Linked DNA regions of Macaca mulatta. The protein of the gene in region 6 purifies or fractionates together with the protein of the main gene of each other region. This does not show direct contact. Links are inferred from orthologs where the notes say so. Each region holds a gene or a part of one and is shown on either strand. Other genes may lie near its edges.

The links.
Region 1: the proteins of UPF1 (region 6) and MOV10 purify together in Homo sapiens (affinity purification with mass spectrometry; 3 studies listed by BioGRID and IntAct, with this or other methods). This does not show direct contact. The link is inferred for Macaca mulatta from reciprocal best matches to the Homo sapiens genes UPF1 and MOV10.
Region 2: the proteins of UPF1 (region 6) and EXOSC2 purify together in Homo sapiens (affinity purification with western blotting; 3 studies listed by BioGRID and IntAct, with this or other methods). This does not show direct contact. The link is inferred for Macaca mulatta from reciprocal best matches to the Homo sapiens genes UPF1 and EXOSC2.
Region 3: the proteins of UPF1 (region 6) and MAGOH purify together in Homo sapiens (affinity purification with western blotting; 3 studies listed by BioGRID and IntAct, with this or other methods). This does not show direct contact. The link is inferred for Macaca mulatta from reciprocal best matches to the Homo sapiens genes UPF1 and MAGOH.
Region 4: the proteins of UPF1 (region 6) and ILF2 purify together in Homo sapiens (affinity purification with mass spectrometry; 3 studies listed by BioGRID and IntAct, counting the BioPlex papers as one, with this or other methods). This does not show direct contact. The link is inferred for Macaca mulatta from reciprocal best matches to the Homo sapiens genes UPF1 and ILF2.
Region 5: the proteins of UPF1 (region 6) and SMG7 purify together in Homo sapiens (affinity purification with western blotting; 7 studies listed by BioGRID and IntAct, with this or other methods). This does not show direct contact. The link is inferred for Macaca mulatta from reciprocal best matches to the Homo sapiens genes UPF1 and SMG7.
Region 7: the proteins of UPF1 (region 6) and STAU1 purify together in Homo sapiens (affinity purification with mass spectrometry; 7 studies listed by BioGRID and IntAct, with this or other methods). This does not show direct contact. The link is inferred for Macaca mulatta from reciprocal best matches to the Homo sapiens genes UPF1 and STAU1.

Annotation. Positions count from the first base shown.
Region 1 is NC_133406.1:127,559,353-127,562,204, reverse strand, and holds the end of MOV10 (helicase MOV-10), read left to right. Parts: intron 1-47; coding exon 48-122; intron 123-1,019; coding exon 1,020-1,145; intron 1,146-1,224; coding exon 1,225-1,313; intron 1,314-1,432; exon of another isoform or gene 1,433-1,549; coding exon 1,550-1,671; intron 1,672-1,756; coding exon 1,757-1,848; 3' UTR 1,849-2,098; downstream 2,099-2,852.
Region 2 is NC_133420.1:16,887,905-16,892,255, reverse strand, and holds the start of EXOSC2 (exosome complex component RRP4), read left to right. Parts: upstream 1-1,495; 5' UTR 1,496-1,516; coding exon 1,517-1,638; intron 1,639-3,779; coding exon 3,780-3,881; intron 3,882-4,351. UniProt on the Homo sapiens protein: Non-catalytic component of the RNA exosome complex which has 3'->5' exoribonuclease activity and participates in a multitude of cellular RNA processing and degradation events.
Region 3 is NC_133406.1:187,373,182-187,376,977, forward strand, and holds part of MAGOH (protein mago nashi homolog), read left to right. Parts: intron 1-343; coding exon 344-402; intron 403-2,275; coding exon 2,276-2,386; intron 2,387-3,796. UniProt on the Homo sapiens protein: Required for pre-mRNA splicing as component of the spliceosome. Plays a redundant role with MAGOHB as core component of the exon junction complex (EJC) and in the nonsense-mediated decay (NMD) pathway.
Region 4 is NC_133406.1:113,368,148-113,372,544, forward strand, and holds the start of ILF2 (interleukin enhancer-binding factor 2), read left to right. Parts: upstream 1-1,556; 5' UTR 1,557-1,644; coding exon 1,645-1,649; intron 1,650-2,343; coding exon 2,344-2,403; exon of another isoform or gene 2,404-2,435; intron 2,436-2,694; coding exon 2,695-2,737; intron 2,738-3,930; exon of another isoform or gene 3,931-3,949; coding exon 3,950-4,054; intron 4,055-4,397. UniProt on the Homo sapiens protein: Chromatin-interacting protein that forms a stable heterodimer with interleukin enhancer-binding factor 3/ILF3 and plays a role in several biological processes including transcription, innate immunity or cell growth.
Region 5 is NC_133406.1:41,024,395-41,028,190, forward strand, and holds part of SMG7 (nonsense-mediated mRNA decay factor SMG7), read left to right. Parts: intron 1-707; coding exon 708-852; intron 853-1,264; coding exon 1,265-1,647; intron 1,648-2,297; coding exon 2,298-2,669; intron 2,670-3,440; coding exon 3,441-3,590; intron 3,591-3,796. UniProt on the Homo sapiens protein: Plays a role in nonsense-mediated mRNA decay. Recruits UPF1 to cytoplasmic mRNA decay bodies.
Region 6 is NC_133424.1:19,389,345-19,393,698, forward strand, and holds the start of UPF1 (regulator of nonsense transcripts 1), read left to right. Parts: upstream 1-1,334; 5' UTR 1,335-1,616; coding exon 1,617-1,847; intron 1,848-4,354. UniProt on the Homo sapiens protein: RNA-dependent helicase required for nonsense-mediated decay (NMD) of aberrant mRNAs containing premature stop codons and modulates the expression level of normal mRNAs.
Region 7 is NC_133415.1:101,963,060-101,966,855, reverse strand, and holds part of STAU1 (double-stranded RNA-binding protein Staufen homolog 1), read left to right. Parts: intron 1-305; coding exon 306-471; intron 472-3,796. UniProt on the Homo sapiens protein: Binds double-stranded RNA (regardless of the sequence) and tubulin.

The DNA.
Region 1 (2,852 bases), on a different chromosome or scaffold from region 6:
ATGAGGTTAATGGCAGGAGAGAAAGGCACCTGTCCCCCTCCTTCCAGGTGGAGAAAATCCGTTACTGCATCACCAAACTTGACAGGGAGCTTCGAGGACTGGATGACATCAAGGACTTGAAGGTGACACGCTGTTCCACACTCACTCCCTCCCCTCCGTGTGCTCCCACTTGCCCACTTCCAAAGACTTTCTCAAGCTTCCACTCCAGTCCAGCCCACATCCCCGTCCCACCCCTGCTGCCTTGAATAGAGCTGGAGCTCTCCCCAAGCCTCTCACTCCTGGAGATTCCAACTTAATGGTCTGGGATGGGATCAGGAAGCCTGGATGTTTAACAAGCACCTCCTGTCATTCTTAGACTCAGGCAGGTTTGAGGCCTCTGCCCTACGGATAAAGTCCAAATTCCGTGGCCTGTCATGTGATGCTCCCACCCCCACCCCCAGTAGCCTCTGTAAGGTTGTGGTCTCAACACTGGCTGCAGATAACAATCACCTGGAGAGCTTTTAATACCCCCGTGCCAGGGCCCCGCCCACCAGCTCATACAGCTATGGGGCAGAGCCAGGGCACTGGTAGTTTTTATAGCTTCTCAGGTGATTCCAATGTGCAGCCAGGGTTGAAAACACTGCTCTAAGACTTACAGGCCTCTCTCTCGGAAATTCTGATGGGGGGGTCTGGGTTAGGGCCCAGGGTTGTATATTCTTAACAGATACTTGGTGATTATTTTCCGGAAAGTGTGAAAGTCACTGCTCTGAGTTCCAGTGTGCTTTGCAATGCTGTTTTCTTTCCTTAGAACACTTTGCAGGCCCCACCCCTCAACAGGATTCACCCTTCAGGTTTCAGCTTCCATTGCCTACCTCCTGTCCCCTTTCCCTGGGCCGTGTCGCAGCACTCACTTGTTCACTCCACTGGTCTACAATTGCCCAGTGACCTCTCTGTACCCTCCTTGGATGGCAGGCTTGCTGGGGTAGGGCACCCCTTTGACACGCCTGGCTGGTCTCAGGCCCTGCCTCTTTCCCCGATAGGTGGGTTCAGTGGAAGAATTCCAAGGCCAAGAACGAAGCGTCATCCTCATCTCCACTGTGCGAAGCAGCCAGAGTTTTGTGCAGCTGGATCTGGACTTTAATCTGGGTTTCCTTAAGAACCCCAAGGTTTGAGGGCTGGTCGGGGTGGCAGGAATTCTTCCATCTTGGGGCCCTTCCCTCCCATGACCACACTTCTTCCTTCCAGAGGTTCAATGTAGCTGTGACCCGGGCCAAGGCCCTGCTCATCGTCGTGGGGAACCCCCTTCTCCTGGGCCATGATCCCGACTGGAAAGTGTGAGCATTCCCACCCCATTCTCCCTCTTGGTGGCCACAGCCCCTGCCTAAGGCAGGTGGATCTTTTTTAAGCGCTTGCTTATCGCTCAGTTAATCCTCAGATGTGTCCATTTTCACAGCACCCCTATTATATTTACAAGTTAAATGACATCCAGAGGTTGAGCAAGTACAGCTCAGATGTGACAGGACCGTGGCTTAGCCTCCAGTCTCTGCTGGCACTCCTCTGTACCCCACAGATTCCTGGAGTTCTGTAAAGAAAACGGAGGGTATACCGGGTGTCCCTTCCCTGCCAAACTGGACCTGCAACAGGGACAGAATTTACTGCAAGGTCTGAGCAAGCTCAGCCCCTCTACCTCAGGTATGGCTGGGCCAGGGTGGGCCAGGTTGGGGACAGTGCCAGAGGAAGTGGTAAGGAAGACAAAGTGTACTTTATTTCTTTCCAGGGTCCCATGGTCATGACTGCCTCCCCCAGGAGCAGGAGGGTGAAGGGGGCCTGTCTCTGCAAGTGGAGCCAGAGTGGAGGAATGAGCTCTGAAGACACAGCACCCAGCCTTCTCGCACCAGCCAAGCCTTAACTGCCTGCCTGACCCTGAACCAGAACCCAGCTGAGCTGCCCCTTCAAGGGACAGGAAGGCTGGGGGAGGGAGTTTACAACCCAAGCCATTCCACCCCCTCCCCTGCTGGGGAGAATGACACATCAAGCTGCTAACAATTGGGGGAAGGGGGAGGAAGAAAACTCTGAAAACAAAATCTTGTTCTATGCAAAAGCCTTGATAATGTCTCCTCTGCCTGGCCCCAGCTTCCTGAGCCCCCAAGTTGACCCAGTAGGGAAGGGTGGGACTTTCAGCCCTGCTCTGGGACACACCCCCTCCCAGCTGGAGAGGAAACCCAGTGGGAGGTGGCAGGGAAGCCACCCACAGGTTTCTAAGTTTAGCCCCCTGCTACAGACCACTCCCTTCACCCGCCTCCTTGGCCCAGAGCCAGGCATGACCTCATCCTTTGCTCTAAGACTCCACCCTGCCGGCCGCTGGCCTGCCTTGTAGGCAGGGGGCCAGGCTGGCAAGCAACTTGGACATGAAAAGAGATGGGACACTAAGCACCCAGAGGGAAAGACCAGAAGCTGCCACACACGTTGGAGCCTGTAGCCTTTATTCATGCCCCCCTGACCAAATGCAGTGAGAGACAAGGCCCCTGCCAAAAACAACTCCAGGGGCCTGGGACTCTGGGTCCCCTACTGCAGATACTTTCCTGTGAGCCAGAATTGTATAAAGTGCTGGTGTGTGACCATCCTTTGGGAAAGGTCAAAGGGGCAAGAGCCCCAGGGGCCCTGAGGAAGGGCAGGGCATAGGCCTGGTTCCCAGAGCACTGGGAGGGAGGGCCCGCACCACCCCACCACCTCAGGGCTAGGAAACCTCAATGCAGTCCTGGGCAGGAGGGAACGGAAAAGGGGAGCCTTCAGCATGGAGCCCTAAGGAGGCTGGGGTTGTAGGGGGATAATTTCTGTACCCCTGTTGAAGGGAGGGGGCATGTTTGGAAAGG
Region 2 (4,351 bases), on a different chromosome or scaffold from region 6:
GCAGCTGGAACACGCATCGGCTTTGCTGCCATCTGCTAATGTGAATTCCATTCCTTTTGGGGCCTCGATTTCCTCCTCCATAAACTGGTATCCACAATGCCAACCTTGCGACAGGCTCCGTGAATGTGAACGCTGTGAGAGTGCGCGTCTCTCCCTCCCGGGAAGAACTTGGATGGTGTCAGGACTACACTCTCGCTCCGCCTAGGGCCGCTCGCTGGGCCTGGCTTCCTGGCCGTCGGGCTACGCGGGCTCAAAGGACACCATCGCCCTCTTATGGCCCCGGCAGTACTGGACCAAGGGGCTGGGCTCTAGCGCCTTCCTCCAAGCACGGCGGAGGGCGAGGGTCTGGCCGCTCACTTACCTAGGGCCTTGGGGCACTAGCATTCACGTCACGGACTGCCTGGCAGGGCTGACTTTCTTAAGTGTGGTCGTGCGCCTTGCTTAAGTGGAAGAAATGCTGTCGCTTTGGAGATTTATAAAACAATTGGTTCGATGGATCTTTCTTCAGGAGGCAGACTTGGTTTACCTGCTTTTCTGACCACAGTTGATGTAAATGATTTCATTTAATCCTCTTTAGAGTCCCTGTGCATGGGGAATTACCATTCCCAATTAGTTTGTTGTGAATGTAGGGCAAGGAGAGGGAGACGGTAGTGGGGAACGGGAGAAGGGGCGAGGGGGTACGCTCCTATTAAAACGGAGCCGCAGCAAAACCCACAGAGACATGTCTGTTCCCTGCTGAATCCTTAGAACAGCGCCTGGCACACACAGAGCACTCAACTCGCTGTGTAACTAAATGCAAGCCATCTTCGTATTATGTGTGCACTTCCCTTCCCTACCAAATATACCTGGCTTGCAAGGTTTGACCTATACTGTTAGACGATTTTTAACTTGTTTCCAAAAGAAATATTGGAGTAAATTAGCTTGCTTAAAGAAGTCTTTATGAAAGAACAGAACCAAGTGAGAAGTATCTGGAGCCCGGTTTGGAGGTATAGATGATGATGCTGAGCAAGCACCCACGGGGCGGCAGCAATGTAGAATACTGGGGCTACTAGGAACCGTGTGGACAGGGGCTCTTCTCTCTGTTCAAATAGTGTTTTCTGTAGATCCCATCTCTCCATCCTCCTGAGCTCTCTCTTAGAAAATACCGGATTTCAGCAGCTTAGAATCGGACAGAAACTCAGAGGTCCGTTTCTCAATTATCGCTAACCCTTGTAAACAATAAATGGGATGGTGAGTACAAGACAGTTTTGGTAAAAAGTCACACCCCACACAACATGAGATTGTATTATTCCACGGGTGCTCCCTTGCCAATAGTAAACATGGCAGCTCGGCTCCCTTCCCTTCGGGTTCGCCTTAGTGTTGCCAATTGTAAACATGGCCTCCAGGCCGTGAGTTCTCATTGGCAGCTGCTCTGAGTCCCCGCCCTTCCCCGCCCCTCCGAACGCGGCCAGGAGTCGCGGAGTCGGATATCGCGGCTCCCGGCTGAGCTGCGCCTGCGCAACTCATTGGCGCCAAGATGGCGATGGAGATGAGGCTTCCAGCGGCTCGCAAGCCTCTTAGCGAGAGACTGGGTCGCGACACTAAGAAACATCTAGTGGTGCCGGGGGACACAATCACTACGGACACGGGATTCATGCGGTACGTGGGGACTTGGGGGAGTCGAGGCTTCCATAGAGCGGCTTCAGGGCTCTCTGCACGTGGTCCAGGCCTCGTATCCCGGTGTGTCTAACTCCCCGCGGGACCCCAGGCACTTGGTCTGAGCATCCTACTCGCCTCGCTTCCGAGCCTCGTGCTTCTTGCCCCCTGCGTCTTGTGTGTCCCCTTCTGCGTTTGTCTCAGCTCCCTGAAACCCTCCACTCCTGACCTCTGGTGGCTGTGACTTTTGGGTCTTCTGCCTGAAGTCCAAATCTTTGAGCCTTCCTTGTAGGAGACCTGGAAAACCGGGGAGGTTTAGGCGCAGGCTCTCTTTCCAGTTTTCAGCTCTCTGAGGGGACGGTGGGTGTTCTTGGCCGCCTCCTCTTCAGTTTAGAATCCGTAATTGTTCCAGCTTAGGGCAAACAGTTACATTGTGCTGCCTGCACCCATTTATACACATTTTGAATCCAAGGGGTGCAGTACAGTGTGTTGTAGTTAAGAGGGCAGGCTCTTTTTTTTTTTTTTTTTTTTTTTGAGACAGAGTTTCACTCTTTTTGCCCAGGCTGGAGTGCAATGGCGCGATCTCAGCTCACTGCAACCTCCGCCTCCCAGGTTCAAGCGATTCTCCTGCCTCAGCCTCTCGAGTAGCTGGGATTACAGGCATGTGCCACCATGCCTGGCTAATTTTTGTATTTTTAGTAGAGACGGGGTTTCTCCATGTTGGTCAGGCTGGTCTTGAACTCCCGACCTCAGGTGATCCACCCTCCTCAGCCTCCCAAAGTGCTGGGATTACAGGCGTGAGCCACCGCGCCCGGCCGAGGGCAGGCTCTTGAGTCAGACAGTTGGGGTTCCAGTCCAGCTACCATCACATCTTATTAGCGGCATTGCCTCTCCACGGTCAGTTTCCTCATCTGTAAGATAGTGATAATAACAGTATGATACGGTAATGAGGATTAAATGAGATAATTATGTAAGAAAAGAAGTAAAACCAGCCATTATATCATCATCATAGATAACACTAGCGTTTCAACCTTTTTTTTCTGTACATGTATCTATACAAGGGGCACAGCATTCATAGCATTGCCCTTTAACCTGTTAGTTTAAGGCTAGTGGATCCTAGGAAATATTTTTTTTTTCATTTTTGAGACGGAGTCTCTCTGTCGCCTAGGCTGGAGAGCAGTGGTGGGATCTCGGCTCACTGCAACGTCTGCCTCCTGGGTTCAAGCAATTCTCCTGCCTCAGCCTCCTGAGTAGCTGGGATTACAGGCACCTGCCACCATGCCCAGCCAATTTTTGTATTTTTAGTAGAGATGAGGTTTCACCATGTTGGCCAGGCTGATCTCGAACCCTTGACCTCAAGTGTGATCTGCCCACCTTGGCCTCCCAAAGTGCTGGGAGTACAGGCATGCCCAGCCCCTAGGAAATTTTTTTTTTTTTTTTTAATGAGACAGAGTCTCACTCTGTCGCCCAGGCTGGAGTGCCGTGGCACAGTCCCAGCTCACTGCAACCTCCACCTCTTGGATTCAAGCAATTCTCCTGCCTCACCCTCCTAAGTAGCTGGGATTCCAGGCGCACGCCACTACGCCCGGCTAATTTTTGTATTTTTAGTAGAGACGGGGTTTCACCATGTTGGTCAGGCTGGTCTCAAACACTTGACCTCGTGATCCACCCACCTCGGCCTCCCAGAGTGCTGGGATTATAGGCGTGAACCACCGCACCTGGCCAGGAAATCTTAAGATTCATTCTTTCGTTAATGCTTTCAACATATATTTATATTTTGTGCAGTTGGGATATAACGGCAGAGTGAAAAATCTCTGTCCTGGTGGAGTTCTAACGGAGAATGTTAGGCAATAATGCAATGGGGAAAAACGTGGAGCAGGGTCAATGGAATGTGGGGGAGTGGTGGCAACGGGGTGGGCTGTGTTTTCAATGGCACAGTCAAGGTAGGCCTGCTGGAGAAAGTGACACCTGAGCAGACCTGAGTGAGAGGAGTGATTTCCAAGTAGCCAGTCTGGAGAAGGAGCACTGAAGGCAGGCTTTGCAGGGGGAGCTTGTTAGCTTTGAGGAACACATTGTTCTTGAAAGGAGAGAGGTCACCTCGAGTTACCCTGGTATCCTTTCTTTGTACCTTTGCCTTGCATCAGGGGCCACGGAACGTATATGGGAGAAGAGAAGCTCATTGCATCTGTTGCTGGCTCTGTGGAGAGAGTAAACAAGTTGATCTGTGTGAAAGCTTTGAAAACCAGGTGAGAACAAAAGGTGTGTATTCCCTTTCTTGCGGCATCCAGGTTGTACAACCAGGCTTTTTCTGCCCCCTCCATATCCCCTACCCCACCCCTGCCTGCCCTGTCATGCTGTAAGTCTGAGGTTTTGACCATGACTGTAGGTGGGGTGGTGCAGATCAGTGTAGGCTTCAGAGGTTTTCCCATGTTATGTCACCACTCCAAGCCTTGGTTACCTCCTCTGCAAAGTGAGTATAATAGCATGGCCTACTTCACAGGATTTTCTTTTTTTTTTTTGAGACGGAGTCTCGCTCTGTTGCCCAGGCTGGAGTACAGTGGCACAGTCTGCACGCTGCAACCTCTGCCTCCCGGGTTCAAACGATTCTCCTGCCTCAGCCTCCCAAGTAGCTGGGATTACAGGCACTCGCCACCACGCCTGGCTAATTTTTTTATACTTTTAGTAGAGACAGGGTTTTACCACGTTGGCCAGGCGG
Region 3 (3,796 bases), on a different chromosome or scaffold from region 6:
AGGTCCTATGTGCTGGTAAGTTATCATTTACTCTGCCTGTTTTCAGGACATTCACCTGCAAAAATGTGATTCGACAAAGTCAGAAAAGAGCCTGCCTGTGTTTTTACCTCACCTGAGCTGCTTTTTGCAGTAGTTGAGTGTCAGCTGTATATTTGGCTGTTTAAGCCTGAAGTGAAGAACTGAAAGACTAGTATTGTTGAACTACCTTAAGAGTAAATAATAAATGTCTTAGACACTTTGAGCAAGTTGGATACATTTTAGGCAACTGCCGATAGTCTTGGTATGGTATTGATGCTTTATTCATGTTTTTATTATATGTTGAATTTGGCTTTTGTCCCCACAGGGAAGTTAAGATATGCCAACAACAGCAATTACAAGAATGATGTCATGATCAGAAAAGAGGTATGCCTTCTGAGAGGCCTTCATTTTCTACATTTCAGCTTTTTGTCTTGCATTGTTTTTGTTGTATCTAGTATTGAAAGGTAAAGAACAGGGAGAGAGACACATGTCTGTAGACAGCTTCTGGATTATTTCCCAAATCATCTTTTAGTTGGGATTTTTTTATTTTACAATGTGGAATCAATTACTGGTAACCATTGACATACCTTGGTTTGAACCCTGAGTCTGCTGCTTACTACCTCATGTGACAGTGGGCAAGTTCCTGGCTGAACTTGATTAAATCTCTGTTTCTTCACCTGCAAAAACAGGGAAAATAAAAGCTACCTCCCACTCCCAAGTGCTGTCATAAAATTAAATGTGTTATACTTAAAGTGCTCTATATATTCCCTGGCACATAGTACACAATGGAGAGCTATTTAATTTGCATCTGAGTGGGAAAGGGAGCATGGGAAAGCAGTTGATATCATTGAATGCATGTTAGATGTCAGGCATGGCATCTTATTTAACCCTGATTATAAGCCCATATGATGGGGGAGGGTATTATAGCCCCCTTACAAATAAGAAAATAAAGGCCCAGATATTAATTATGAGACTTGTTCAGAGTTACCCCTGCTAGTAAGAGATACAGCAGGAATTCCCAATTAAAGGAATTCCCCAGTAAAGTTTGTATTCTCCTCTCTGTGATTTCTACTACATCATTAAGGCTTCATCAAAGCTACTCTTTTAACCACTCTGCCACCTTTGAAAATGTCTTAGCATATATTTTTCATACTGTTGTTTTAGCTATCAGTTTCATGCTTATTCACACATGTCAACATTCTCACTATTTTTTTACACAGGCATATCTTTTCAAATACATTTTGCTCCTCAGGAGCGTATTACCTAGTTAAGAATAACTGGCCGGGCGCGGTGGCTCACGCCTGTAATCCCAGCACTTTGGGAGGCCAAGGTGGGCGGATCACGAGGTCAGGAGATGGAGACCATCCTGGCTAACACGGTGAAACCCCGTCTGTACTGAAAATACAAAAAAATATAGCCGTGGTGGTGGGTGCCTGTAGTCCCAGCTATTCAGGAGGCAGAGCGTGCAGTGAGTCGAGATTGCACCACTGCACCCCAGCCTGGGCCACAGAGTGAGACTCCGTCTCAAAAAAAAATAAACCAGGGCATGTAGGTGTTGCTGTCTCTTTTGTTTTGCTATAACAGAATACCTGAGACTGGGTAATTTTTAAGCCATAAAAATATATTTCTCACAGTTTTGGAGGCTGGGAAGTCCAAGATCAAGGCACTGGCAGGTTCAGTGTTTAGTGAGGGCCCAGTCTCTGCTTCCACAACTGTGCCTTGTTTTTGCATCCTCCAGAAGGGATGAATGCAGTGTTCTCATATGGTGAAAGAACAAGCAAGGGGCCAGCTAGTTCTCTTAAGCTGTCTCCTAAGGCACTAATCCTATCCATGGGGGCTCTGCCCTCAAGGCCCAATCAACTCTTAAAGGCCCTATCGATTAACACCGTTGCATTGGGGATTAATTTCAACATGAATTTTGGAGGAGACACAAAAATTCAAACCATAGCAGGGGGCATTCACAGATCTATTTTGGGTTTCTTTGTGAGTTGGCTGTGTGGACAGGCAGAAGGGCCATGTAAACAGGATGTACCAGGAGGTAGTAACAGCTAGATGGGGGACTGAGGTGCAGTTTATTAGATACTTCTGACCCTGTCCCTCACCTGCATCATGCCGAGGTTGAGCATGAATGTCTTCCCACTTAAGAAGATGCCAGAAATAAGTCTGCAGGAACAGTTATTTTTATCTTCCATCACTATCTGAGTCAAAGCACTGCTTAAGGATACAACATACATTTTGTCTTTTAACTTGCTTTCAGGCTTATGTACATAAAAGCGTGATGGAGGAACTGAAGAGAATAATCGATGACAGTGAAATTACCAAAGAGGATGATGCATTGTGGCCTCCTCCTGACCGAGTGGGCCGGCAGGTATGTTTTATTGATTATCCTGTAGTGCAGAAATCTTACAAATAAGATGAGGTTTAGTGCTCTGCATATGATAGTGAAACTGTGTGCATGTGTGTGTGATGGTGGTGGTGGTGGTGGTGGTCAGCCCTGCAGAAAGCAGATTGCCAGCACCTTGGTCTAAGGAAGCATTAATCCCACAGGAAGGAACAGAGAGAACAAGTGCTGCTGGCCACCAAGAACCCAGCCTTGAATTTCTTCTTAGGACCCCCCACACTCCCTCCTCCACTTAAAGCTTTTGCTGCCTATCTCATTTACTAACTACTATGGACAAAGCATTGTGGAGATACAAAGAAAAATAGAACATGATTATTTCACCAATCTAATGAAAGGAAAATCATACAAATAATTCAGTATATGTATTTAAATTCATGTGTATTTATATACATTATATATTCATTCCGAGCACCGTTTTGTTAACTAAAAAATAAAAGCCACTATCATATTGAACTGAATTAACAGAAAAGGTATTTTCACTCTGACTGCTACCATCCTAATCCAGACTTCTGGACTTCTAATAGGTTCCCTTGTTTTTCCTCTTGTTCCATACCATCCATTTTTCCATCCTGAAAGCCAATGTAATTTTTTTTTTTTTTTCGAGACGGAGTCTCGCTCTGTCGCCCAGACTGGAGTGCAGTGGCATGATCTCAGCTCACTGCAACCTCCACCTCCTGGGTTCAAGTGATTCTCCTGCCTCAGCCTCCCGAGTAGCTGGGATTACAGGCACACACCACCATGCCCAGCTAATTTTTGTATTTTTAGTAGAGATAGGGTTTCACCATGTTGGCCAGGCTGGTCTTGAACTCCTGACCTCAGGTGATCCGCCCACCTTGCCCTCCCAAAGTGCTGTGATTACAGGCGTGAGCTGCCGCGCCTGACCAGTGTGATCTTTAAAAATGTAAATTTGCTTATGTATTCCACTGATTTAAACTCCAATGGCTTCCCACTGTACTTAAAATTTAAACTCCCACCTTATCTTTTACCATGCTTCCAGTCTGTCATGGTGTTCAAACCTTACTAGCTTCATTTCTGTTCCTCAGAAATACCTAGGTGGTTCTTACTTCAGGGCCTTGGCACTTGCCACATTCTGCCTAAAATATTCTTCCTTTAACTCTGTACAAGACTCTCTCTATTATTGAGGTCTTCAAAAGTCGGTTCCTCGGTGATATCTTGCCTGTCCATTCAATCTAAGAAGTCTCTTCCCATCATTAAGAAAAAGATCTGTTGTGCTGTCTTTGTGTGTGTGTGTGTGTTTTCTTTTTGCTTTCAGTTTCATCACAATATGTGTTGTCTTTGTAGCACTTATTGTCTAAAATTGTCTTACTTGCTTTTCAATTTTTTCACTGCTATATCTCCAGTGACTAAAATAGTGCC
Region 4 (4,397 bases), on a different chromosome or scaffold from region 6:
ATAGTCCCAGCTACTCAGGAGGTTGAGGCAGGAGAATCGCTTGAACCGGGGAGGCGGAGGTTGCAGTGAGCTGAGATGGCGCCACTGCACTCCAGCCTGGGAGACAGAGGGAGACTCCATCTCCAAAAAAAAAAAAAAAAAAAAAATTAGCTCAGAGTGTTGTGGCCTGTGCCTCTGAGTAGTCCCAACTACTGGGGAGGCCGAAATGGGAGAGTCTGTTGAGCCCAGGGGGTCGAGGCTGCAGTGAGCTATGATGGTGTACCACTGCTCTCCAGCCTGGGCAACAGAGTGAGACCCTGTGTACAAATAAAATAATAGAAGAGAGGGTAAGAGACAAAGAGATTACTGGGGGAAAAGTCTAATACGTCTTTGGAGTTCAGGAAGGAGGGAAATAATAGGTAAAACTAATACTGGAAGATATAATAGCTAATAAATTATATAAATGGATGACAAACCTCAAGCCATTGATTCAAGAAGCTCAACAAACCTCAAGCAAGATTTTTTTTTTTTTTTTTTTTTTTTTTTTTTTTTTTTAAGACGGAGTCTCCCTCTATCACCCAGGCTGGAGTGCAGTGGCGCCATCTCAACTCACTGCAACCTCCGCCTCCTGGATTCAAGATTCTCCTGCCTCAGCCTCCTGAGTAACTGGAATTACAAGTGCCCGCCAGCACAAGCCACCGCACCCGGCCCTTTTTTTTTTTTTTTTTTTTTAAATTAATAACATTTATTTAAATCTGGATGGTGGTTATGTGGACAGAATACGTTTAGACTTAAGATGTTTACGTTCTGCTGTAGTAAATTAAATATCAAAAAAGTACGTATGGAAGGGAGGTAGATGAGGGATAAAAGTCTACAAGTTGGATTCAGTGTATACTGCTCGGGTGATGAGTGCACCAAAATCTCACAAATCACCACTAAAGAATTTATGTAACCAAGCCGGGCGCGGTGGCTCAGGCCGGTAATCCCAGCACTTTGGGAGGCTGAGGCGGGTGGAACACCTGTTTTCCACATTAATTCAATCAATATACTCCTCCTATCTGAAACCTGTTTCTCCTGCTTCGAGTTTGTAGACGTGTAGTGTTCATGGTTGCCTAAACTCCCTTTTCCCCATCAACTTCAACTGCTAGTGGCAAAAATGGCTGATACTGCTTGCGTTTTTGGGGTAGGAAAATCGGCAAGGTATTTTCATTCACTGAATGTAATGTAAATTACGTGTACGGTACAGGGCAATGAAAAAATTCCGATAGCAGAGGATGGTTTCGATCCATCGACCTCTGGGTTATGGGCCCAGCACGCTTCCGCTGCGCCACTCTGCTATCTGAAGGCCAACGTTCTCATAACTGTTATAGAAGACCACGTAGTCGTTGTCCTGACTTCTTCAGTGCCACCTAATGTCTGATCAAAAATTCGTCATTACTATAGAACCAGTTCTTATTGGCTAGTTCCTGACACAGTAGGCGTTTTTTATTGGTTCATAAGCCCGGTTTGACAAAGTAAGCCAATAGGCATAAGCGATGGGGTAAGGCGGGAGCCAATCACGCCGGGTTTTATTGGGACACGCCGGCAAGACTCCTCTTCAGTTGTCTGCTCCTCAGAGGAAAGGGGCGGTTGGTGCGGCCTCCATTGTTCGTGTTTTAAGGCGCCATGAGGTAAGGGGGTCGAAGTGGTCGAAAGGTTTCAGGTATTCGACGGAAAACTTTGGGAACGTGGGTCGAAAGAAGTCGGAGTACCTAAAAGGACCATGTATCCGGGAGCTGGCCAAAAACCTGAGAACTCCTGGTCTAAGAGAGTGGGAGAGAGTGAGGCCGGTAGAGGCGGGGAAACGGGCCCGGGATGGGGTTGGGGCCCAGGAGTGGGGAGGCGGGTTCGACACCTCTCTCTGAAGGGTTGCGATGAGGAGGTGTCCTCAAGTCCCCGGAGGAGCTCCCCACCTTCCCTCCGCCCCCGTCATCCGGGCTGAGAATGCTGGAGCGAGCCGCATTCATCCTCAGTGCGAAGGGCTTGACATATAGGACATGCCCGATAAATGTGTACGTTAATGAAGAAATGAGCAATCTTTAGCTTCCGAAGTATTAGGATTCGTGTGGCCCAGGATTATGGGTTATTTCGTGTAGGGCTCACTGTCTGAGCCCCATCATTACTTGATGGGGGGTTGTGATTAACTTATCCAGAATGAGGAGGTTATGGGGGTGTAACTGGGCACCATTTGGAATGGGGAGGAGTGTGTGAGTGGGGTCTCTTGCCTACCGTTGGGAGGTTCCGAGGGATGAAAGTAGCCAACTTAAAATGATATGGCCGGTGGGTATTCCTTCAATGAGATCAAAATAAAATCTGCATTTCTAGGGGTGACAGAGGCCGTGGTCGTGGTGGGCGCTTTGGTTCCAGAGGAGGCCCAGGAGGAGGGTGAGTGCCAGCTTTTAGCATCTCTGCACTTAGTTGTTAGTTTCTGCTTGTCATCTAAATAGGAGTTTTGGAATAGACTAATGTCACTTGGTTTTGTGAGAGCCAACTGTGGTCTTTTCCGCACTCCTGCTAAATGAATTTGGCCCCACTATGCTAAGAATGATTCTCTCCCTCCCCAGAGACTTTGTCACTCATTCTGAGGTCTGACATGTTTTCAAAATTGTTGGTGTGTTATTTAAATCTCACTTGATTCCTACATAGGGAATAATTTGGCTGTTTTTCATGTTTTAGGTTCAGGCCCTTTGTACCACATATCCCATTTGACTTCTATTTGGTGAGTACCTTGGGTTAATAATACACAATTTCTGGCCATTCTTGAAATGGAGCCTAGTATCTCCCAGTTAATGAAGTTAGATAGTGGTTGAAGAGGGCAGGCACAGTGCCTCACACCTGTAATCTCAGCACTTTGGGAGGCCGAGGCGGATGGATCACCTGATGTCAGGAGTTTGAGACCATCCTGGCCAATATGGTGAAACCCCATCTCTAGTAAAAATAAAAAAGTTGCTTGGGCGTGTGCCTGTAATCCCAGCTACTTGGGAGGCTGAAGCAGGAGAATCGCTTGAACCCGGGAGGCGGAGGTTGCGTGAACTGAGATGGCACCACTACCAAAAAAAAAAAAAAAATGGTGATTGAAGTGAGGGGGAAAGTGATTTTTGAAAAGACTTGGGGTTTTGAGTCAACTGTGTGTTGCTTTACCTACAGAAACAGTGTAAGCATGGTGGGGAGAATAATTCCTTGACTACTGTTGGCATTAAACATGATTATAATCTTTGTTCTGAACAAGTAATCGTATCTACGGCTAATTTGTTACTATAAAGATAGTGATAGCTTAAATTATGGCTATTCCAGCTTGTATCCTTGTTTGAACATTTTTTCTTTTTTTTTTTGAGACAGAGTCTCACTCCGTCACCCAGGCTGGAGTGCAGTGGTGCAATCTTGGCTCACTGCACTGAACCCGGGAGGCAGAGGAATCAGGACCTCTGCCTCCCAGGTTCAAACAGTTCTCCTGCCTCAGCCTCCCAAGTAGTTGGTATTATAGGCGCCATGCCCAGCTATTTTTTGGGTATCTAGTAGAGACGGGGTTTCACCATGTTGCCCAGGCTGATCTTGAACTCCTGACCTCAAGCGATCTGCCCACCTCGGCCTCCCAAGGTGCCGGGATTACAGGCGTGACCCACCATGCCTGGCCTTTGAACAAAATTTTTTTTTTTTTTTGAGGCAGGGTCTTACTGTGTTGCCCAGGCTGGAGTGCAGTGGCACGATCTTGGCTCACTGCAGCCTCGCTTCCTGTGTTCAAGGGATTCTCCCACCTCAGCTGGGATTACAGGCGTGAGCCACCATGCCCAGCTAATTGAACAAATTAAGGAGTAAAAACAAGTGTAGAATTTTCTATTTTTAACCTTTTTCTGTCGTAGTAATAGAAAAAACAATCTCTCCTGTATATTATTTTCGGCAAATGGAATGTAGTTGTTTACTTCTGGTTTAGTGTGAAATGGCCTTCCCCCGGGTCAAGCCAGCACCTGATGAAACCTCCTTCAGTGAGGCCTTGCTGAAGAGGAATCAGGACCTGGCTCCTAATTCTGCTGAACAGGTATGTTCTTTTGGCTGTCTTCCAGAAATGTCTCTAAAGCAGGTAAAAGTATTGGTAAAGAGTAACTGTTGGTAAGGTTAAGAATGGTGTTAACAGAGCCTGAAATCCACAGAGGGTTTAATTGTTCTCCTTATTTCTCATTGTGGGTGGAGACAGCCAGGTGGATATATAAACAAATTACATATGCATTCTTATTTTTATTGGGGATAAAGAGTTGTTCTCTTTCCATATATTCAAGGCCAGAATGAAGTGTTTTTAAAGTCCTAGGTCAGTATTGAGTCAGCTCGTATGGAAGGGATTAGGAGAAAATACTCAAACTCTGAGAATTTGCTTCTAATTTTTC
Region 5 (3,796 bases), on a different chromosome or scaffold from region 6:
TCAGCCATAAATGATTAAAGTGAGAAAGAGTCAACATATCACCACACTCTGTACCTCATCCCGAGTTTTCTATAAATGCTAATAATTTTCCCTGATTTTGCTCAACTTTGAGCGGGGCATATGACATCTACTCTCTGGCTCCATCTATAGGATCTCAGGGCCTGTTCCTTACTGCTGAAAGTATCCTTATTTATTCTGAAGGGTGGTAAAGTTGCAGGGTGGAAGGTGGATGCCTGACTGTACACATATGGCTACCCAGATGAAATTAAACTGAGGGCCAAAATAACTCACCTATGGGTTAACGGTCACTATTAGTTCATAATTCATGTATGCTGTTTAATGAATTAGAGTATAGAGAACCCTGGGCCCCAGAACAAGCAACTTAAAGTCATAGACAAGTTTTTTTCAGCTTGTTAGCATCAGGCATCTCATTTGTAAAACAAATGGACTCTAAGGTCCTTTACATATTTGGATTTTTGTGATCATGGGAAAGCAAAATAATTAGTAAAACTAAGATAGTAAAATTATCTTTTATTGGCTATTAAATAATTTGCTTTGATATTCCATTTTTAACTTAGGTGAATTTAAATATCTTCAGCATGTCCTTTTTGATCTAATGAGGTTTTAAATACTTTCTTAAGAGTAGGGTCTTTTTTCTGACACGTTTGAGTTTCAGTTTATTATAGTTTTGCTTCTCTTGGTCACAGGTAAAATCCCAGACAGAACTAAGAAAGACTCCAGTGTCTGAAGCCAGAAAAACACCTGTAACTCAAACCCCAACTCAAGCAAGTAACTCCCAGTTCATCCCCATTCATCACCCTGGAGCCTTCCCTCCTCTTCCCAGCAGGCCAGGTAAATATGTTTTATAATTTCTTCTACTTAATCTTTTCTGTGCAAGAATTTCTGTTCACTCACTGAGAAATGTGTATTCTGTTAGAGTAATGTTACTAACCCAAAGAAAGTTCTGTTTTCCCTAATGCTTATAAAATTATTTTTGAAATGTTTCTGTGTAGTGTACATGCAAGTGCATGTTTGTTATGATGAAGGAAATCCTATCACTGAACACAGAAGCTACTTACACAACACTGATTACTTCAGTGGATAGAGGAAAAGTGTCAATATTTTTAATTCTTCAAATCAAGTTTGACAACGTGACTGATCTCTTTTATGATGTGTTAGAGGACTCCCTCTACTTACCTGTTTTTAAAAAAATGAATTTTTTGCTGTTTCTTTAGAACTAAATCTGTGTTCTTCTGTTTTGAAGGGTTTCCACCACCAACATATGTTATCCCCCCTCCTGTGGCATTTTCTATGGGCTCAGGTTACACCTTCCCAGCTGGTGTTTCTGTCCCAGGAACCTTTCTTCAGCCTACAGCTCACTCTCCAGCAGGAAACCAGGTGCAAGCTGGGAAACAGTCCCACATTCCTTACAGCCAGCAACGGCCCTCTGGACCAGGGCCAATGAACCAGGGACCTCAACAATCACAGCCACCTTCCCAGCAACCCCTTACATCTTTACCAGCTCAGCCAACAGCACAGTCTACAAGCCAGTTGCAGGTTCAAGCTCTAACTCAGCAACAACAGTCCCCTACAAAAGCTGTGCCGGCTATGGGGAAAAGCCCGCCTCACCACTCTGGATTCCAGCAGGTAAGTTACAGTTGTGTGTACTGTCCAGCTGAATGAAATAAAGGGAAATGCTGAAAGATTGAATGTTAGAAATGCTGATTGAACTTTGACATACTTCTTGTTTAGATTTGTAGTGATTATGAGAAGGCAAAAGTATTGTCTCTACTGTTTATGAAAGTTCAAATGTTTTCCTTACTTTTGTAAAGTGTATAATACTAGATCTTAACTACCATTCTTGGCTGCTACTAAATGTCCATTTTATTGAAAATGGATTTTCTGCAAATAATTCTATAGGAACATAAACTACTAGGGAAATAGAATCACAGTCTTGATGAGGTACTAAGACAGATGTGACACCGATCTTAAATGTTGTCGTTTGAAGCACAGCACTTGAAGCAGAAAGGGGAAACAAACACTCTTATGCAAATATATTCATTCATTCATTAACCCTCTTAAATAGTTGAATTAAAAGAAAATATGAGTGTGGTGCCCATAATCTGTTCCCAAAAAGCTCTGTGTATTGAAAAGCCCAAAAGGTAAAGGAAACTGCTGCCTTGCCTAGAGTTTTGTTGCTTGGAAAACACCTCAAGTTCATTCTGTGATTCTTTAGCATTCATTATAAGTAATATTGCATTTTATCCTCACCTTGATGACAGGCATCTCTTTTTTAGTATCAACAGGCAGATGCCTCCAAACAGCTGTGGAATCCCCCTCAGGTTCAAGGCCCATTAGGGAAAATTATGCCTGTGAAACAGCCCTACTACCTTCAGACCCAAGACCCCATAAAACTGTTTGAGCCGTCATTGCAACCTCCTGTAATGCAGCAGCAGCCTCTAGAAAAAAAAATGAAGCCTTTTCCCATGGAGCCATATAACCATAATCCCTCAGAAGTCAAGGTCCCAGAATTCTACTGGGATTCTTCCTACAGCATGGCTGATAACAGATCTGTAATGGCACAGCAAGCAAATATAGACCGCAGGGGCAAACGGTCACCAGGAGTCTTCCGTCCAGAGCAGGATCCTGTACCCAGGATGCCATTTGAGGTGTGTGTTCTTTCCTATCACCGGGCATTTTGGAGATAGGTTTGGGGTTGACTATCTTTTGAATATCTCAAATGGATCTTATAAAGAGGCCACTCTTATTCTTTAGTACTATAGAATGCCACTGAGTATTGGTGTAGCTCTTGGTTTCCTCCTCAAAGTTGCACAGTATGTTTTAGTTTGGAAGCTGAAGAATTCTGTAACTGATTCAGAACTCTGATGGTCTGGCAAAGAAACCATGTACAGAAATCTCTAAAACAGCATGTTAGAGAATTCTGAGACAAAGCACTCCTCTCAGTTGGGCTGAATCATCTAAGTTTAAAAATAGGTTTACTGATACTTAAATAAGTTGCTCTCTGAGAGGAACAAAGTTAACCAGTTATCTTGGACAGTGGAGGTCCCTTTCTTTGCCCTTTTTATTCATGAGAAGCAGGTGAATGTTAGTAACTTTTTAAAAGATCTCTTACTTTCTTTGTTAGCACAAGAGATGCTAATTATTTTGCTCCTCCATAGCATTGTTTTACTTAACTAGCCACATTCACCTTTTGTGTTCTGCTCTGTCAGTATTTTTGCTTTTCTATTGTCTTGAACTTTCTCCAGTATTGTCCTTGTGTTGCTTTGCCTTTGCATTTCAGAGCCTTTTTTCTTTGCCTAATACCATCTATCTCACTATCCCCTTGACTGTAGTTGTCTTCTTCCACCTAATCATACTACTATTCCTTTATGCTTTTGTTGTCCCTTATTGCATCTCACTGTGATCCTTTCTGTCACTAGGACCCCAAGAGCTCCCCTCTGCTTCCTCCGGACCTGTTAAAGAGTCTGGCTGCCTTGGAGGAAGAGGAAGAGCTGATTTTTTCTAACCCTCCTGATCTTTACCCGGCTCTGCTGGGGCCTCTCGCCTCTCTTCCTGGACGAAGCCTTTTTGTATGTATTTGACATAATTCTGCTTCTTGCTCTAACTCCCAGCTGCTTTTCTGAGATATTGTAGTACACAGATTAGGTGATTTCTTATCTTCCTGGGGCTGTCCTTTTCAGAACTGTAAAACATATTTTCTAATTCCCTAAACCAACCTTAAGATGGTAGTAGGATATAACAAAGCATTTCTGACTTTATATTTCTCCCAAATTGT
Region 6 (4,354 bases):
TCCCCAGTAGCTGGGAATACAGGCACCCGCCACCAGCCCAGCTAATTTTTTGTATTTTTAGTAGAGACCGGGTTTCACCGTGTTAGCCAGGATGCTCTCAGTCTCCTGACTTGGTGATCCGCCCGCCTCGGCCTCCCAAAGTGCTGGGATTACAGGCTTGAGAAACCGCGCCTGGCCTACCTCACTTGTATAATTTCACACAGCTGATAAGTGGTTAGCTCTAGATTCCACCACACACCATGTGCTTCCTGTTGTTTTGCTGTATATGTCCACTAAATAATAATCATAGCAAAAATAGTAATTGTATAATGACAGCGGCAGAGGCATCAGGAACAGCAGCAACCATCATTTCCAAGTGTCAGGCCCAGTACCTAAGACTATCCCCATTCATTTATTTTTACTTATTTTTGAGACAGGGTCTCGCTCTGTCACCCAGCCTGGAGTGCAGTGGTGAGAACCACCACACTTAGCTAATTTTTTTTAGCTAATTTTTTTTTTTATTTTTTGAGACGGAGTCTCACTCTGTCGCCCAGGCTGGAGTGCAGTGGCACAATCTTGGCTCACTGCAAGCTCCGCCTCCTAGGTTCAAGCGATTCTCCTGCCTCAACCTCCCAAGTAGCTGGGACTACAGGCTCGTGCCACCACGCCTGGCTAATTTTTTGTATTTTTAGTCGAGACGGGGATTCACCGTGTTAGCCAGGATGGTCTCGAGTTCCTGACCTCGCGATCCGCCCGCCTCGGCCTCCCAAAGTGCTGGGATTACAGGCGTGAGCCACCGCGCCCGGCCTAAGTTTTGTATTTTTTGTAGAGATGGAGTCTCACTCTGTTTCCCAGGCTGGTCTCGAACTCCTGAGTTCAAGCCGTTCTCCCGCCTCAGCCTCCGAGTGTTTGGGATTACAGGTGTGACCACCGCGCCGAGCCCCACCCCCTTATTAAACCAATGCACAGGGAGCATCTACTATGTGCGAGGCACCCCCCATTTTACAGATGGGGAAACTGAGTTCCAAGCAGCTTTTGCCAGGAGTGGGAGCGCGTCGTCCCTGCCCAGCCTCTCCAGTTGGGCATTTCGAGATCACCTACGTAGGCTATTCGGCTAGCGCTTAATTAAACCGAAACACTGTCGCAGCGACCACAGGTGCAGACCACCAGGTCCACACCACCCGCCGCCCGGGAGTCCCCGATTAGCAGTTGGGGCGGGACCAAGTCCTCGAGGGGCAGCCGCGACGGCGGTTGAAAGCCTCACCCCCTGCGCGTGCGCGTTGAGCGTCCCGTCGTCCCGCTGGGCACCCGGCGTCCGCGAAGAGCGCGCGCGCTTCCGCCGGCGTCGGGCTCGCGCACGCGCACGGCGACGGCGGCGGTGGCGGCAGTTCCTGCCCGGGGCTGCGAGCGGCGGGCGGCTTCGAGGGGAACTGAGGCGCGGAGGGGCTCGGCGGCAGCGGCGGCGGCTCGGCGCTCTTACATCTCGGTTCGGCTGGCGCCGGGGAGGGCGGTTCGGTCCTTTCCAGGCGTACGGGGACGACAGCGGCAGCGAGCCGAGGCCTGCGGCCTAGGCCTCAGCGCGGCGGCGGGCTCGAGTGCGGCGCGGAGCCGGCCCGAGGGCCCTACCCGGCAGCACCATGAGCGTGGAGGCGTACGGGCCCAGCTCTCAGACTCTCACTTTCCTGGACACGGAGGAGGCCGAGCTGCTCGGCGCCGATACACAGGGCTCCGAGTTCGAGTTCACCGACTTTACTCTTCCTAGCCAGACGCAGACGCCCCCCGGCGGCCCCGGCGGCCCGGGCGGTGGCGGCGCGGGAGGCCCAGGCGGCGCGGGCGCGGGCGCCGCGGCGGGACAGCTCGACGCGCAGGTGAGCGGCACATGGCGGCGCCGGAAGCCCGGGCCTTGTCTCGGCGCCTGAGACCTGTCCCTAGCCCGTCTCGGGCCGGGCCTGGGTTTGCCCGGAGTCCCCCGTCGCGGCCGGGCCTGGGGCGACCTGCCCCGGGTCCCCTACTCCGGCTGGGCCTGAGCTTACCTGCCCCAGGTCCTGCACTCTGCCCGGGCCTGGCCTGATCTGCCCCGGGTCTCCCGCTCCGGCCTGGACCTGGCTGAGTTCCTTCGGCCCCCAACTCCTGGGCTGGGCCGACTTGCCTCGAGTCCTCCACTCCGTTCGGGTCCGAGCTAACCTGACCCTCTTCCTTTACTCCGGCTGGGTTTGCTCCTCCGCCTGGGCCCGGGCTGACCTGCCTTGTGTCCCACAACCAGCCTGGCCTGGAGTAACCTGCCCTGGTCTGAGTTCTTCCACTCCATCCGGGCTAGGGTGACCTGCCCTGGTCCCTCTTTCTCAGGTCTCGGTTTTCTGCCCCGAGTTCCCCTACGGCCTGGGCCGGGTCTTGCTCAGGCCGGATCTTGAGTGACTTCCCTCAGTCCCCTTCCGGGAGTATCCAGGGTGACCTGCCCTAACCCTGTCTCTGGCCTGGTCCGGGGATTCTGCCCCGTCTCCCCAGTGGGGGGTCCGGCCGCACTGTCCCACCTCCCATCTGTGGTCACAGCCATCTGGGCATCCCCCCTTCCACAGTCACGGAGCCGTAGGTTCGAATTTTCCCAAGCATAAGGGCGCTGGTCAGCGGAAGATTGAGGCAGGGAAGAATTTTTGCCTCCCATAGAGGAGCACACATTGGCTGGCTATTAAGATCATTCAGGAAGCAGTTTGTATTTTATTTTTTCTTGCATCGCCTGTTGCTGAAACCGACCTGTTACATAACTCCACAACTCTTGCCTTGGAAAAGTTGGGTTTGAGTTTTGTTCCTCCAATAAGACAGCAGTAATGGGTTTACATAAATGCGTCTGCCACGTTGGAAACTCATTTTTAATGATGTGGATGTTTAGAGAAGGTTACTTAGGTGTTTAAATGGGGGCTTGGGTTGGGAGAAGTATCAGGCATGCATTTCCTGGTCCTGGGTGCTGCCTGCCTGGGGTGGGAGAGGGGCTGGGGGGGCGCGGGTTGCACCGGGCTCCAGGGGCATGTCCTCATCATCCTCTGGATCTCAGGTTGCTTTCACTTTAGGGTTGCTTTGTGCCTGACCCCTCGCTCAGGTTTATTTTCCTGACAGGGAGTAACTCCGAGGCTCACCTTGGCACAGGTGTCCCTTGGCATGTGCTGGTGTTTCAAAGCTGGGAGAACCACTCCTTGCTCATCCTGAGTGAGCTCAGACCCTGTCCTTGCATGAGGGGGGCTTACTTGGTAGTCGGCTGAGTCATTCCCGTGGGTAGACCACCCACTTGGGCTTCCTTTTAGCCCCTAATGGAAGCAAGAAACATTTGACTCATTCTAACCCCATATTCCTTAAAATAGAAAGTTGGGTGTGAGGAGAACAGGTGTGCACGTATGGGTGGTTTTTTCAGTTTTGTTTACATTTTGTGAAGGTGGGGAGGGAGAGAGGAGAGGTCCCTTGAAGAAGGGAGCAGGACCTGCGGAGGCCCCGCCTCCTTGTAGTTTTTATGCCCTGTAGACCTTTCTGCTTCCGCAGCTGTGAAATGGGGGTGGCAGTTGGATTTTTGTTCCTTTTAAACATAAAGGAAACCTAGATCCATGTGTGAGTCGACTGTATAGGCTGTCTGTAATCTGACGTCCAGCCTGTCGGGGAGACTCAGGGTAAAGATCTCTGTGGAGCAGTGAGCCATGAGCGTGACAGCGCGGATAGAGGGGTTGGCTGGTGTCAAAGGTAATCATTTTCTTGTGAATCCTTTTAACTGTGGCCAGCATAAAACAGCAAACCTGGGGCAGCCTTTAGTTCTACTTTTGTTTCTGGCATTCCGTTTGGGATTAAGTGTGGCGCATGTCCTTCTCTTTCAGTTGAAACAATTGATTTTTTTCCGTGCACCTGAACACACTGGGCTGTACAAAAGGAGAGCATTAAAACGCTCCCCTGGAGGTAAACATTGCAGTTGAGCTCACTAGAGTTCTGATGACATCAGATGGTTTGTCCTGTGCTACTTTTAATTGACCCAGATGCCCCACCCACCTGTTACCTGTAATTTGGATTTGTTAGTGGGGAATGGGAGTGGCATCCCTTTGCATCACAAGGGGAAGACCGGAGTTTGGGGGCAAGGAAGTCTATGTATATAATTCAAGGGAAAGCGGAAGAAAGTTATCACTTGTGTGGATTGATTTGGGAAGACTTTCCCTGTTTGTCCTCAGGAGTTGGCTGTGTAACCAGCTGTTAAGTTGGGGGCTCCTGGAAGGACTCAGAAAGCTTCTCATTCTGTTTTTTAATTTTTATTTTACTGGGCAAGTGGCAGTCAGCTGTCAAGTGCCCTGCAGTCACTTTTGCTTAACAGCTTTATTGAAATAGAATTCACTTGCCGCACCATACA
Region 7 (3,796 bases), on a different chromosome or scaffold from region 6:
TGTCTCCGCCAAAGCCTAATTCATTTTAGATTTTGTCAGTGCAGGTTAGCATGATAAACTCATAATTTCTAAGCCATTGTGTTTCCTGAGATGTAAGTTTGGATTGCTAAAAACTCTTTTCTTATACTGTGTAGCAATTCTAATCCAGTTTAAGCTTTTATGAAATCTCTGGATATATTGATGAAGAGTGATTAGCATCAAACACTAATGTGAGTAGGATCGTGATGAAGGAACATTTGCCAGAGAGTGTATAGGTGACTTATCAACTTGAGACTGTAATTTGCCTAACCTCCTTTTATTTCTAGGTACTTTTACCCATTTCCAGTTCCACCTTTACTTTATCAAGTGGAACTTTCTGTGGGAGGACAGCAATTTAATGGGAAAGGAAAGACAAGACAGGCTGCGAAACATGATGCTGCTGCCAAAGCATTGAGGATCCTGCAGAATGAGCCCCCACCGGAGAGGCTGGAGGTAAGGAGCGGAGCCCAGGCTCCCTGACGCTTCGACAGGGTGGGAGGGTAGTGGGGAGATGTCACTGCACGTTATCTTTTCTAAGAAGGCATGTTGACAGCTGTCCATAATTTTTATTTGAATGCCTCCAAGATTTTATGCTCTGTAGCTTTCTTGCTTTTTACCCCTTTTTTCGTTTTAAAATTTCTTAACAAGAAAGTCAGTTGCCTTCTTTTCCAGTCTATGGCATGGTTTTGAGTGACATGGTGTGAACACGTTAGAAAGTTTGCGATTCAATTGAGTTGTGAAGAACATGTACGGATGAAGTCTTCAGTACTGAAGATTTTGCTTGTGATATATGGTACCAGGTTAGAGAATTTTCTGAAGCTGTTTTTGACCAGCCACTCTTGATTATATAGAAGCGCCTGTTATCTATTGCCTCATAACAAACCGTCACAGAATTTAGTGATGGTTTAAACATCTCCAGGCATTTATTTTGCTCATAAGTCTGCAACTGAGGCCGGGCTTGGTAAGGGTAGCTTGTCTTCATTCTACACAGCTTTGGTTGAGGTGACTCTGCAGGGGGCTGGAAGATCTGCTTTTAAGATGGCTCACTCGTGTGGCTGGTAAGTTGGTGCTTGCTGTCAGCTAGGAGCTCAGCTGGGTCTCTGGCCCCAGGACCTCAGTTCATCCCTGGGTGACCTATGGAAGGATTGCTTACACTTCCTCATGGTATGGTGGCTGGTTGCCCAGAGTAAGCATCCTAGAAGATGGGAAATGGAAGCAGCTGCCAGTTTCTTAAGGCTTAGGCTCAGAAATCACAGCATCGTGTCTGCCATGTTCTACAGGTCAAGCAGGCACAGAGCCCAGATTCAAAGGAAGGAGATATAAAATGTCACTTAAAAAAAAAAATTGAGGTGGCCAGGCACAGTGGCTCACGCCCGTAATCCCACCACTTTGGGAGGCCAAGGCAGGCAGATCATGAGGTCAGGAGATCGAGACCATCCTGGCTAAGACGGTGAAACCCTGTCTCTACTAAAAATACAAAAAATTCGCTGGGCGTGGTGGTGGGAGCCTGTAGTCCCAGCTATTCGAGAGGCTTAGGCAGGAGAATGATGTGAACTCAGGAGGCAGAGCTTGCAGTGAGCCGAGATTGTGCCACTGCACTCCAGCCTTGGGGACAGAGCGAGACTGTATCTCAGAAAAAAAAAAAAAAAAAAATTGAGGGTAAAAATTATATAACCTAAATTGACTAGTGTAAGTGTACAATTCAGTAGATTTTAGTACATTCACAATATGGAGAATCCCATTTCCAGATGATGAAGGGATTGTCAAAGAATTAGGGACCATGCTTTAAAACCACCATGATAGGAAAAGGATTATTAACATTTTTGTGACTCAATAGCAATATAATTCTTAGGGAATCAGTAACTCCATGCCATTGAGGGGGTCAAAGCATTAGTGAATATCTTTGGCCAGGCAGAATCTTATCACAGGTAGAGTCACAAAGGCCAGAAGAAGCCCAGTGAATTGAAAACATTGAGATTTCATAATTCTGTTTAATCACAGCAGGAAATGCCACCTGAAAATATCTCTGGGTAGCATTTGACTTTTCTTCACCAGGAAACATGTTCACAAAGAACAAGAAGATCCTGCACAGAACAGTGGGCTAAGTATGTGATGAGAGGTGTAGACCCAAGCGGACCTTGGGCAGGGTGCCTGCTGAGGTCTGTTGTATCCAACTGCCACCCAGGGCGACCCAGCTCGGGCTTCATGGCTGGCTGCACAGGAACGATTTGTTTTTCTTTCGTTACGCTGCGTTTCCATTTTCCACTGTAATCACCTATTCTAGTAGATGATCTGTTTCCATGGCCCACTAAGGACCAAATCAAAGAAAATGAGGCTGTAGCTAAAAGAGGAGGATTTAGTGAAGTTAAAAGGATGAGCTTTTCAGTGGTGAGATTTGTTAAAACACCAAAAAGGTAGTGGAATTTGAGTTATTTTGGAGGCTCTTCAGCTTTTTACCTGACTGGTGCTAATCTTAATTGGAGTCAGATGGAATAGGTATTTCTAGTACTTCCAGCCAATAGTTGATAAACAATTGCTGGACACTGCTATATGGATTTTGTGCATCACAATCACTTGAGAAGTTAAAAAAAGAAATTCTAGGCCCAACCCCGGGATTCTAATGCAGTAGGTCTAGGGTAAGACTCAGGAATCTGGCTTTTGCTTTTATTGTTCTTGCTGGGTTTTTTTTTTTTTTTTTTTTTTTTTTGAGACAGTCTCCCTCTGTCACCCAAGCTGGAGTGTAGTGGCATGATCTTGGCTCACTGCAACCTCCACCTCCTGGGTTCAAGCGATTCTTGTGCCTCAGCTGCCCGAGTAGCTGGGACTACAGGTGCTCACCACCACGCCCAGCTAAATTTTGTATGTTTAGTAGAGATGGAGTTTCACTGTACTGCCCAGGCTGGTCTCAAGCTCCTGAGCTCAGGTGATCTGACCACCTTGGCCTTCCAAAGTGCTGGGATTACGGGCATGAGCCACCATACCCAGCCATGTTGTTAGTGAGCTCTTGGAGTGATTCTGAGGTATGGTCAAGGTTGGAGAACCACGGATCTAAGCGCTGTCAGCACTTCCCCAGCAGTTCTTCCCCTTGACTCCTCCATGAGAATGATGAGAGTATTGCTACAAAGGATAAGTGCCTATTGGTATTTCTGAGTCTCCCACCTTCACTCACTAGAGCAGCGTTGGTTGGCACAGTCCTGAGGGCAGCAGTTGTTGTGGACATGTTCTCCTGGGCTGTTTTCTCACTGGGTCCTGTGAAAACTCTGAGGAGCTTTGCTGGGGAAAAAACAACAACAACAACAAAAACACCTTTTTTCACTGACGTGTATATTTTGAATATGTTACGTCATTTACTTAAAATTCCTTGGAGGACTCAAATTCAGCACACACCTAAGCACTTTTTAATGGCTGCAAAGTGTTCCACTAAGTGAATGCACTGCTTTGTTTTCCAGCAGGGACTTGATTATTTAGGTTGTTTGTAGTTTTCCCTCTTATGAAATGGGTCGGGAAGAACATTGTTGCAGTAAAGTCTTTGTCCACAGTCCTAGAAGTAGAATTGCTGAACCAGCGGGTATGCACAGTGGTACATATGGCCAAGTTCTCCACAGGAAGAGGGTGCCATTTTACAACCTGCTGACAGGCCATAAGCAACCTGTCTGTCCACAGCCTGCCAGCATTGGAAATGATAATTTTAAACAAATTGTCAGGTTAGCTGTGGCAAATTTGTGGAGCATGTGATTGTGTGGTGGATCAATGCATCTTCTCTAGAAGATACGCAGTA